2 linked regions of the Arabidopsis thaliana genome follow. The protein of the gene in region 2 interacts with the protein of the main gene of each other region in a pairwise test. Each region holds a gene or a part of one and is shown on either strand. Other genes may lie near its edges.

Region 1 (6,465 bases), on a different chromosome or scaffold from region 2:
CAATTCTTGTTTTATATTTATGCAAATGATTAATATACTACTACTATATTAGTATATTGTTACTTATACTATTTTATATGTCAAATTATATGAGAATGCTAGTGCACCATTCGATGGTCTGATCTTTAATCAAAGCACATTTCGAGATTTACTATGATATAAAAAAAAACATGAGATGACCGCCAATTTTGTTTTGTTAACCAATTTCGTGTTTAAAATTTATGTATATTTTTCAGCAATGTTGTAGTTTTTATTTAAACCATTGAGTTTTGTAAGTGTCACTTTATTGACCGCCATTTTTTGTGAAGAGTTACTTGTGATTGATAATATATGATGGAAAACAATGCAATAGTATAGCTCATAGAATCTGCGTCAAAGATTACCATTAATGGTTGATAGGAGTAGCAAGTAACAACTTATAAAATATTTAATGGACAGAACAATTTAGGAGTAATAATAAATAATAAATGACATGTGATTAAATTTATGTTTAGGTAGCATCCATAAATAGACGACCAGCTAAAAGTCATGCATTGATCTAATCGCATCACTTATTTAATAATACTATACCTACCAAGGACCATAAGAATTGATTACTTCTAATACTGTGTATTAGCTTGTATGGAGTACTGGAGTAGTACTGTGGATCTTCGATCCATATGTCTGAACTGTAGTTTATAAATAAAATGTATTTATATGTTAGTATCAAGAAAAACGACAAAAGAATTCGAGTTGATAAATTGCTTTGGTTAATGGGAGCCAGATCCAAAACTCTAGAAGCACAGATCTAAAATGCTTGTGCATGATTTATTATTGTGTATATATGCCTAAACGAGGATGGAGTAAGTCACACATCCACATGCATGTGTGCAAGTCCTCAAGTAGTGTAAGATATAGATGTATGAATACATTCACCCACACGCGCACACACTACGCAGCGTGTGTAGATGGAAGATATTATGCAACTCTTGTAACATCAAACTTGATTGTATAGATCAAGGATGCGAGAGGCACACCATTACGGCAATACATACACTTCCGCTTTACTAGATTCATTATGAAAATCTTTGAATTGTACCATCATCATTCATATATAGTTGGTGTCAAAAACAAAAACAAATCACAGCTATAGAGTTTGAGTACAAGTGTTACGTATGTATTGATGCCTCATTTATGGGAGTTTTGTTCTCCAATAAATATGTAGCCAACTCAACAAGTCTATTTCCTCGCAAACGACCAAATTCTCATTCAATGATTCAAACTTTAACGCTATCTAAACTGTAACGCATTTCTATTTTATAATAGAAGTCTTCAAATGCTCATTCAATGATCCAAACTTTAACTTCTAGTTTTATACTCCATATTTGTGCAAAATGTATATGATATAATATTACAAGTAGTAGAAGTTTTTTGTTTTAGTAGCTAGTAGTAGAAGATTAAGCAGAGTAAGTTCTCATTAGATGACTTAAGCATACAAATATAGTATTACAAGTAGGGGTTATACACATGACTAAAAATGTTTATAGTTCTTTTTAAATAATTTATGTTTAGCACTAACAAATTCTTATAAAAACTAAAGTTTATTTTCGGGAAATTATGTAAGTAACAAATGACTAATTTGGATCATGATTCGCTCCATATGGGTAGGTTATGGGTACCTTTCTTTTTGCTCCAAGCCCTTTTTCGTAATTTTCTCTTAGCACTTTTAGTTAAAATGATGACATTGAAAAAGGGAATGGCTTGCGGTGTTAGCAATGTCTCCGAGTCTCTCTTTTCTCTTTTTACAACGAAAAACCTTTTTGTAATCTCCAAATTTTCCCTCTCTCTCTCGTTTCGGCGGTTAAGCTGCCATAATCTCTCACCCACCTCAAGCAACATAACCCACAAAAACTCAATCTTTGTTTCTTATCTTCAAAACCCATCTGATCATTCCTCCGGAATCTTTCTCAAGAACAGAGCAAATGCCGCTTGTTAGGCTCCAAGTTAGGAATGTCTACGGTTTAGGGCAAAAAGAGCTTCACACAAAAGTCGACCGTGAAGACCCTAAAGCGATTCTCGACGACGTCGCCGTTTCTGGACTCGTCGGGATCTTGCGTCAACTCGGTGATCTCACAGAGTAAGTAGTACTTTAAGTCAACTCTGTTTCCTCTGTTTCTTTTTTTTTATAATTGACTTATAAATGTTTTTAAAAAAAAAAAAATCTTAAGTAAAAATGTGACAATATGGAGTCAGTGATCTTCTTTGATTCTCTGTAAAATCTTTAATTTTGCTGTGTTTGGTCTTCTTCATTTGCTTATTTTATGGTTCTCAGCCAATCTTACTTGTCCTGAGTTTTTATGTTAAACTCACATTGTTTCAGATTCGCAGCAGAGATATTCCATGGAATACAAGAGGAGGTAATGATAACAGCATCAAGAAGCAACAAATTGAAGATGAGATTGAAGCAAATAGAAGCTAAAGTTCCTACAATCCAAAAGACAGTGCTTGCACAAACAAATCACATTCATTTTGCATACACTGGAGGTTTCTTTTGTCTTGTTTCTCTTGTCAATCTTCTTTAATGTCTAGATTCACATGTTTGTTCTTTAATCAAAAATTTATATCCTGTTGAGTTTATTGTAGGCCCTAGCTCACATGCCTTTTGCACTAACTTCTTAGCTTAAAATACTCTTTTTTGAGTTTAGAATTTGATGATGAATGATACTAGTAGTCTTTCTTATGGATCTTAATTAAATAAGTCATGATCTTTCACTATTTGAGTTCTTTAGAAAATTTAAGTATAGTTAATGAACATAGTGTTTACATGCTGTTTTAGGTCTGGAGTGGCATCCTCGTATACCAAATGTGCAAAATCACTTTATGTATGACGAATTGCCACCGTTTATTATGACTCCATATGAAGATTGCCGGGAACCTCCGCGGTTACACTTGCTTGACAAGTATATACACCTTTTAACTCTCATTTTCTTTTTTGTTATTACTGTTTCTGCTATGTTTTAGACTGATGATAATAAATATGATGCTGATTCTTAGCGGTTTTTGTCAGATTTGATATAAATGGTCCAGGTTCTTGTTTGAAACGATACTCGGATCCTACTCATTTCAAAAGAGCATCAAGAGCTTCTAAACCTTCAGAGATTAAGGTTTGTTTTAGAGATTCAGTCTGTTAATACCATGTTTTGTAGAGTTTCTTCTTTTTCTTGTTTGCTACCTAAACTTGTATGGATGATGCAGAAGAAAAAATCTATACAACGCGGTCGAGATATATCAAGACTTGCCTCTGTGGCTAACCAGAGTGACAGGTAATGACATTTGGATTTGACATTGTAGAGATGTTTTCATATATGACTCAAAACATGAATATATGATATGATGTTCAGGAAGACATGTACTTCTTTAAGCTTCAGTGGACGAACCTCTACCTCTAAAACTGCTTCAACGATTGAAATTGAGTCGAAATCCGACTTGCAAGAGCATCGTTCTTTCTCTTTCGATTCAAGAAGTGGTGGAGAGAAACCGAAGAGGGTATCTTCTTCTTCAAGGTTTACACCGGGTTCTCGCACCATTGCTTCAGTTCTTTCTGAAAGTGAAAGTGAAAGTGATAGTCCTTCTCAAGATTTAACAGCTCGTGGTTCTTCTAGTGTTAGTTGGCACGAGAAAGCTGAGATAGTGGAATGCAATGTTCTGCAGTGTGCAACAGATGAAGCTCCTGAAGTAATGGAAACTAACTTTGTCTTGGATGCTGAACCGGTATCAAGACTTAAAGAACATTCAGCGGTTGAAGCGGTCCAAGATATCAAACCGAAGGAACTGGAAATGGACAATGAGGATGAGACTGAAAGCGAAGGGGATGATTTTGTTGATGCACTTTACACCATCGATTCAGAATCTGAAAATGATGAAGCTTTCCAAGCCACTAAAGAGGTGCAGAAGAATCTTTACAATGATATTACAGAGCAAGAAACAGAGAAGATTTCTAACAACTTTAGTGTTGATGAGACAAAATGTGCTGCTACATCAGAGCTACATTTATCATCATCACCGGTATATAAATCTGATGAACTGATTCATCAAGATCCATGGGCGGCTTCGGAAATAAGTAGTGGCACTCATAGTTATTCCAATGGCTTCTCAAATCCTTTGTATGATATTAGTGGTATCCAAGAACATCAAGAATCAGAAGAAGTTGAGAGTTCTTGTGACACTGAATCCATTAAAACATGGACTAATGGAAATCTCCTAGGACTGAAACCATCGAAACCGAAAATTATAGCAGAAACTATTCCAGAGATTGTTGAAGACATTGATTCTGAAACCTTCCAAGAGCACTTAAGAGAAGATTATAAGGCTCCTTTTGATTGGTTTACTTCATCTCCTCCACTTGATCACATGAAAATATCTTTCAAATCCTCAGAAACCTTGCCAAGTTCTGAACTACAGCTAAAACTTCCAGATGAATATACATTTTCTTCGTTTCAGTTGGTGCCAGAGACTATTGCTACTTCACTTCCTGATTCTGATTCAGACAAGGACACTTTCTGTAGATCTTCTTCTTACATTTCAGACAACAGTGACAATGACAATCGCTCTGTGTCAATGTCTGAGCAACAGTGGGAAGAAGAATCAGAAGGTATCCGAGAAAGCAAGAGGCAACAAGAGCTCTATGATTCGTTTCACAGAGTCAATGCTGAAGCTTCTTCTCTACCAGTTCCATTTCCAAAGATTGAAACAACAAATGGTTGTTTAGTTGAAAATGTCTCTTACCTCCAAAATCCAGCTGAGCCATTACCACCGCCTCTCCCACCGTTACAGTGGATGGTTTCGAAAATACCGTCAGCTGGATTCGAGGATAACAACAAGCAGTCTCTAAAGGATGCTCTCACACAGGCATTTGAGAAGAACAACAATTCTTTAACTGCAGTCAAGAAAAAAGAACCACACATTGTCACTGTTTCTGATCCTAAACTTGTAACCAAGGTATGGAGAATTAAGTTTTCTTCTCCTTTTTACTGTTTTTTTTTTTTCATCTTTTTGGTATAAGGTATTTTATGTGATGGTTGATAGGTACATCTGAAGAACAATGTGAGGGATTATAAGCAAAGTCATGGCAACACAAATGAGACAGAAGCTGGAGACTTCTTGCATCAAATTCGAACTAAAGTGAGTCTTTTATTCTTGCTTTATATTTTAGCTATATAGAAAATTTCTGTGGTATATGAAAATGCATTCCCTATTCTATTAATTCAAAGTAACCTTTATTAAGGAACATATTTACATAATCGATAATTAAAAAAAAAAAAAACTCAAACCCTTAAAACTAAAAATATATACATTTGTTTTCGTATTTCATTTTTGTCCCGGTTCCCTCTTAATCGAAATGGAAATATATTTTGAACATGTTTTTAGTTTCGTTTGTATAGGAATGAAATGGGAGAAATGATTTTTTGATCCTCCAATTCTCATTTCTGTTTCCACAAAGTCATAAAATGCATTTTTCTTAACCAACAACAACCTTTTGAATCATAACAGCAATTCAACTTGAGACGTGTGGTCAGGACAAAGACATCATCATCAGAAACTACAATGAACACCAATATTAGCGTGATTCTAGAGAAGGCAAACTCTATCCGACAGGTTCCATACATTATTCACATTTATAATCTTACGTTTCAGTTTGCAAGTACCATTTTGGTCATTAAAGCACTTACATTTCGGACTTGTTATATCAGGCTGTAGCAAGCGACGATGGAGAAGGCGAAAGCGATACATGGAGCGATAGCGACACATGACAACATCATTCATTTCGGTTCTCATATGTTTATTGTGTAGTAGATATAGGTCGATTTTGTCGTACGTTTATATTTGTATCTTCAACAAAGAGATAAGGTTCTGAAAAATAAAATAATTATAGAATATGTTACGTCTGAATCTCTAGATGATTATTGATAATTAAACAAACAAAAGAACTGAATTAATTATTTTTTTAAACAAATTATTTAGGTATACATTAAAACGTGAGTTGGCAAATATAGGATCTTGGAAAATAATCATTAGTACTATATAAGTACCCGAAGCCCTAAGCCGTGAAATTCGCTGTGTTCTTTAATTTGAGTCAGTACTTGACACACTAGAAAAAAGATTATGTCCTTGTTTGTACACTTCTTTAAATATTTTCACTTTCTATCTGATACAACAAAAGATAAGCATTTTTTATTTTTTTTTGATCAAAGATAAGCATTTGATATGCTTCTTAGTTCTTACAATTTCACGAGAATTATTTTATACATAATGAATTTCGTTATTAAAGTTAAATTTCTTAAACTTTTATGTTCGGAAAAATTATTTCTAAAAGAAAGAGAATCAGAAATTATTTTGATTGGATCACTAGAGCAAAGCAAAATTGGCGAGACAGCCAGATTTACCAAAAAAGATGCAACCACAAACACTAAAAAGTCTAAAATCAAG
Region 2 (4,793 bases):
CGACAAGGTATGCAAGAATCCATAGTCGGACACGAGTACTATATCTCTCTGTTCCTCTACATTCACTAGGATCCTTTCAAATATATTGCAGGAACAATTTCAATTGGTACTATTCAAAATGAACACAACGAGAAGCCTTTTTGCTGATAGGGTAAATTAGATAGACTTGTAACTCACTTATATGAGTTTCCTTGCTGTACACTCATACTTCAAGCTTTGCAGGTGTTTGACTTGTTTGATACCAAGAATACTGGGATTCTAGATTTTGAAGCCTTTGCTCGTTCACTTTCGGTCTTTCACCCTAATGCTAAATTTGAGGATAAGATTGAGTGTAAGTGGTCGAGAGAGACTTGACCTTCTTTTTTTTTGTCATATCCAAACCTTGGATCAAGCTCATCTTTTGTCTCTGCAGTCTCTTTCAAGCTGTATGATCTGAATCAGCAAGGTTATATAAAGAGACAGGAGGTGAAGCAAATGGTTGTGCGGACTCTAGCTGAATCTGGCATGAACCTTTCTGATCATGTGATTGAGAGCATCATAGACAAGGTGGGTTTGGTTGATCTCCTCCATTGACACTAACTAGGATTCTCATATTTAATCTTTGACAAGAGATGTAAAAACTGATTGGTGTGTGTAGACATTTGAAGAAGCTGATACTAAACTGGACGGGAAGATTGATAAGGAAGAGTGGAGGAGTCTTGTGTTGCGCCACCCCTCTCTGTTACAGAACATGAGCCTTCAACATCTCAAGTAAGCTAGCCATGTTATTTGCCTTATTATCTTCTTCGTGCGGGACTAACATGTTTTTGTATGTTGTGTTTTGTGTAGAGACGTAACAAAGACGTTTCCAAATTTTGTATTTCACACTATAGTGACAGACACTCCTAGTGAGCTGGATGGATGATCAGGGATGTGAAGAAAGACCAAAACCCTTTACAAGATCATTCATACTTGATTCTTATCTTCTTCTCCATTACTCTATTACAACCCTCCTCTTTATTTTTAATAAATACGTTCTGAAAGCAGCATTACCTCACATGTTTGTGTATCCGCAAACTTGTTCGGTTTATCTTATCTGTTGGAGTGTGCAAATTGATTCTTTTACTCGGCATTAGTTTTATTTTGTTGCTTCTTCTTTCTTTCTATCTAAATTTGTTAGTTGGAGTAAAATCCGGACAACCATATTTTACAGGGAACCCAAATGGCGAGATAGTTTTAACATGAGAAAGGAAAGATTCATGTGAATGAGAAACTGGTTAACTTGAATCTCATAGATCATTGTATACTTGGACATTTTCCCAAGATTAGAACAAACAATACTAGATCTCTCGAAAATATCTTCATCACAGTTGCAAAGAGCCGTGGAGAACCCAACTCTTGAGCTCAAAATTGTATCAGCTAGTGACGTCAACCATATCGAATATGTCACGGACAAAATGGACGTATACGCCGTCGTTTCAATCAAAGACAACACAACTCAACAGCAACAAGCGGCCAAAACTCCCATTGATATATAACGGAGGTTCTAATCCGACTTGGAATCACACACCGTTAAGTTCTCCGTCAACGAGAGAGAAGCCACGAAGCCCAATAATTATGTTAACCAGTGTAACGTTTTTTCACCCACTTAATTTTTTGGCTGGGTCTGCCTAACATTCTAGGCACAAGTTAAAGAGGTGATCAATTTTTAGAAATTATAACCCTAATGCTAACATGAATGATATATAAAAAGGCCGCAATGGTAGACTATAATGGCAACAACTCTGAAACAATGGCTAAAGATTGGGATTCACCGATTCATAGATACCAAAGGTAACTATGAACTCGTTTACGGTTTATCTCAACATGAATCCGTAGAAACAAATCAACAATCCTAATTTCAATAAAGTGTGACAACTAAATTCTTTAGCCGTATACTTTCTAATTCCATTTTGTTTGGTATAATGAGAATTGGAATGACTTTTGGTGAAAATGGTTACTACTTACTCCAATTCTTTAAGTTGGTTCAGGTGAGGTATCATCGTCTTTGGTCGTCCCAATGATTGACTCTTTTGTTATTTAAAAAGAAAAAAGGGACAGTAGAGTTGGACTCTTGTTGGACTTACAGCTCCAGCTCGACTTTTGCTTTCCTCTTGAGTAATCTTCACTTTTTCTCCCAACTGCTTCCTCTCACGGATCTCTTCCTCTCTGCGTAAAGACAAAGATTCATCCTCCTCTCCTCCTTTAGCTCCCCCACTCAGATCTACTTACTACTCCAACAATGTCCTTTTCCCATTTCTAGGTTTTCACAAATCCCCAATTCTCTCTAATGGCGTAGTAGTACCTCACATTGTATTAGATCTATCTCAATGGAGAACAACAATCTTGGTCTTCGATTTCGTAAGCTACCTCGTCAGCCTCTTGCTCTCCCTAAGCTCGATCCTTTGGTAATTAAACTCTCCTCAACCTTTATTCGCGTTTTCTCTCTCTTTTCGTTAATGTGTTTCTTCTCTTTTGTTTCAGCTTGATGAGAATCTGGAACAATGGCCACATTTGAATCAATTGGTTCAATGTTATGGCACTGAATGGGTTAAAGATGTTAACAAATACGGTCACTATGAAAATATTCGACCTGATTCTTTCCAGACTCAGATTTTTGAAGGACCTGATACTGATACTGAGACTGGTAACTATGATGCATTGTTTATTTTTATTTTTTTTGCTTTTGTCAATTATTGTACATCAATTAACTCTCTGCTTCTTCAGAGATTCGTCTTGCTAGTGCCAGGAGTGCAACTATTGAGGAGGATGTTGCCAGTATTTCCGGGAGGCCGTTTTCTGATCCTGGATCCTCTAAGGTGTCTTCTTTTACTCACTTCATTGCTCTGTTATATATTTCTCATCCTTTGGTTCTTACTTTGAAGGTGTTGCTTTTTTTTTTTTTTTTCAGCATTTTGGGCAACCTCCTTTACCTGCTTATGAACCAGCTTTTGACTGGGAAAATGAAAGAGCTATGATTTTTGGTCAGAGAACTCCTGAATCTCCTGCAGCTAGCTATTCCAGGTTTTTTTTTTTTTGCATGTCACTATGCTTTACCTGATCTTATTATCTTTGTCTGATTTGTACTTCTGTTCCTCTTTATTATCTTCACAGTGGATTGAAGATCTCTGTCAGAGTTTTGTCTCTAGCTTTTCAGTCTGGCTTAGTTGGTGAGGATTCTGACTAACTGCTGTCTATTTTCTGTAATTTTAGTTATTTCAACTTCTTTAAGTTCCTTCTTTATTTCTCTTGCATCCCTGCAGAACCATTTTTTGGCTCGATTGCATTGTACAATCAAGAGAGGAAGGAGAAACTCTCTGAGGATTTTTATTTCCAGATTCAGCCGACGGAAATGCAGGATGTAAGTAACTGATTAGAGCCAACTGTCCTCTTTTTGCCTCTTCCCTTCTCATGATTATATAAAAGGTGATTTCAGTTTTTTCTCACGTCATTTTTGCGAAATTGCCGCCCCTTGTACATTTTCTTGCAGGCTAAACTTTCATCTGAAAATCGTGGAGTATTTTATCTAGATGCCCCATCAGCATCAGTTTGCCTGCTTATTCAATTAGAAAAAACAGCAACTGAGGAAGGAGGCGTTACATCATCTGTCTATTCCCGTAAAGAGCCTGTAATTTCCAAAATCCTGAATTTTCCCTTACTGTCTCTAGAGTCTCTTGCTCATGTGAATGCCTTGGTCTTAGAGATTGTGTCTTTCAACATTTATTTGGAGTAACTTGGAGATAGCCTGTGACTTATAATGGCATATATCATCTGTCTTTACTCTTTGTTTTGATATATATTTTAGAGTAGTCATGGTGATAGCTGGATCTTGATATAACAATTAGTAATTACCCTATTTATGTGAATCAGGTGCACTTAACTGAGAGGGAAAAGCAAAAGTTGCAGGTCTGGTCTCGCATTATGCCTTACCGAGAGTCTTTTGCTTGGGCAGTTGTTCCGCTTTTTGATAATAATCTCACCACAAACACTGGTGAATCTGCTTCCCCTAGCAGTCCTCTTGCTCCTAGTATGACTGCGTCAAGTTCCCATGATGGTGTTTATGAACCAATTGCAAAGATCACATCAGATGGAAAGCAAGGTTATTCAGGTGGAAGTTCTGTCGTAGTTGAAATATCTAATTTAAATAAAGTTAAAGAGAGCTACTCTGAAGAGTCCATTCAGGTAGGATGTTTCTTATCAAATCCCACAGTTTTTACCATGTTCTTTATGATTGTATTTACAGTGCTTTGAACTTCACATGGTGTGGAACATTTTTCATAGATTTTGTTCAATTTGAAAATCCTACTTGCTAGGTACACTTTGGTTGGGTTTTCCTGAACTGGATATGTATCTAAGCAAGTAGAGTTGCATGCACAGTCGATTGACAAAATACTTCTGTATTTAATTGATAACAGTTTTTTTTTGTTTTCTATTTGAATGAATCAATTTTGGTAGCATTTGACAATTAGGTCATGGTGTTTAATTCATAAGTTTTGAGGAATAGAAGTTCTTCATTTCTGTTTTCCCTTCTGAAGTGTAGTTAGTTATAAGTATATTACTAAATACATCACAAGAAAACAAGATTTCCGAGCTCTCTCTTCTTTTACTCACACAAAAAAATTCAGATCTGAATCGTGTTTGGTAACGTCATCAGACAAATAACTGGAATGCTTTTTATTGATATAACATCTTACTGTATATTGCTGCTTTTATCTGGAGGAAATACATATCTAAAATCTCTTTAAACTGTCTTGATCAGTTGGACATACGGAATC

The links. Proteins that work in one complex are often made in the same cells at the same time.
Region 1: the proteins of SPK1 (region 2) and AT2G34150 interact in a two-hybrid assay, tested with the Arabidopsis thaliana proteins (one study listed by BioGRID).

The regions. Positions count from the first base shown.
Region 1 is NC_003071.7:14,418,756-14,425,220, reverse strand, and holds AT2G34150 (SCAR family protein), read left to right. Parts: upstream 1-1,749; 5' UTR 1,750-1,961; coding exon 1,962-2,116; intron 2,117-2,359; coding exon 2,360-2,523; intron 2,524-2,529; exon of another isoform or gene 2,530-2,815; coding exon 2,816-2,939; intron 2,940-3,046; coding exon 3,047-3,143; exon of another isoform or gene 3,144-3,174; coding exon of another isoform or gene 3,175-3,234; coding exon 3,235-3,302; intron 3,303-3,380; coding exon 3,381-4,977; intron 4,978-5,064; coding exon 5,065-5,160; intron 5,161-5,529; coding exon 5,530-5,634; intron 5,635-5,729; coding exon 5,730-5,789; 3' UTR 5,790-5,958; downstream 5,959-6,465. UniProt on the Arabidopsis thaliana protein: Involved in regulation of actin and microtubule organization. Part of a WAVE complex that activates the Arp2/3 complex. Regulates trichome branch positioning and expansion.
Region 2 is NC_003075.7:9,238,616-9,243,408, reverse strand, and holds the start of SPK1 (guanyl-nucleotide exchange factors;GTPase binding;GTP binding protein), read left to right. Parts: upstream 1-1,779; 5' UTR 1,780-1,812; intron 1,813-2,009; 5' UTR 2,010-2,348; coding exon 2,349-2,426; intron 2,427-2,502; coding exon 2,503-2,665; intron 2,666-2,745; coding exon 2,746-2,837; intron 2,838-2,929; coding exon 2,930-3,042; intron 3,043-3,132; coding exon 3,133-3,188; intron 3,189-3,281; coding exon 3,282-3,379; intron 3,380-3,508; coding exon 3,509-3,646; intron 3,647-3,888; coding exon 3,889-4,200; intron 4,201-4,793. Other genes in the region: CBL6 (calcineurin B-like protein 6), read left to right, coding at 1-7, 92-151, 223-331, 413-546, 638-750, 829-904. UniProt on the Arabidopsis thaliana protein: Guanine nucleotide exchange factor (GEF) for Rho and Rac. GEF proteins activate small GTPases by exchanging bound GDP for free GTP. Controls actin polymerization via the two heteromeric complexes WAVE and actin-related protein (ARP) 2/3.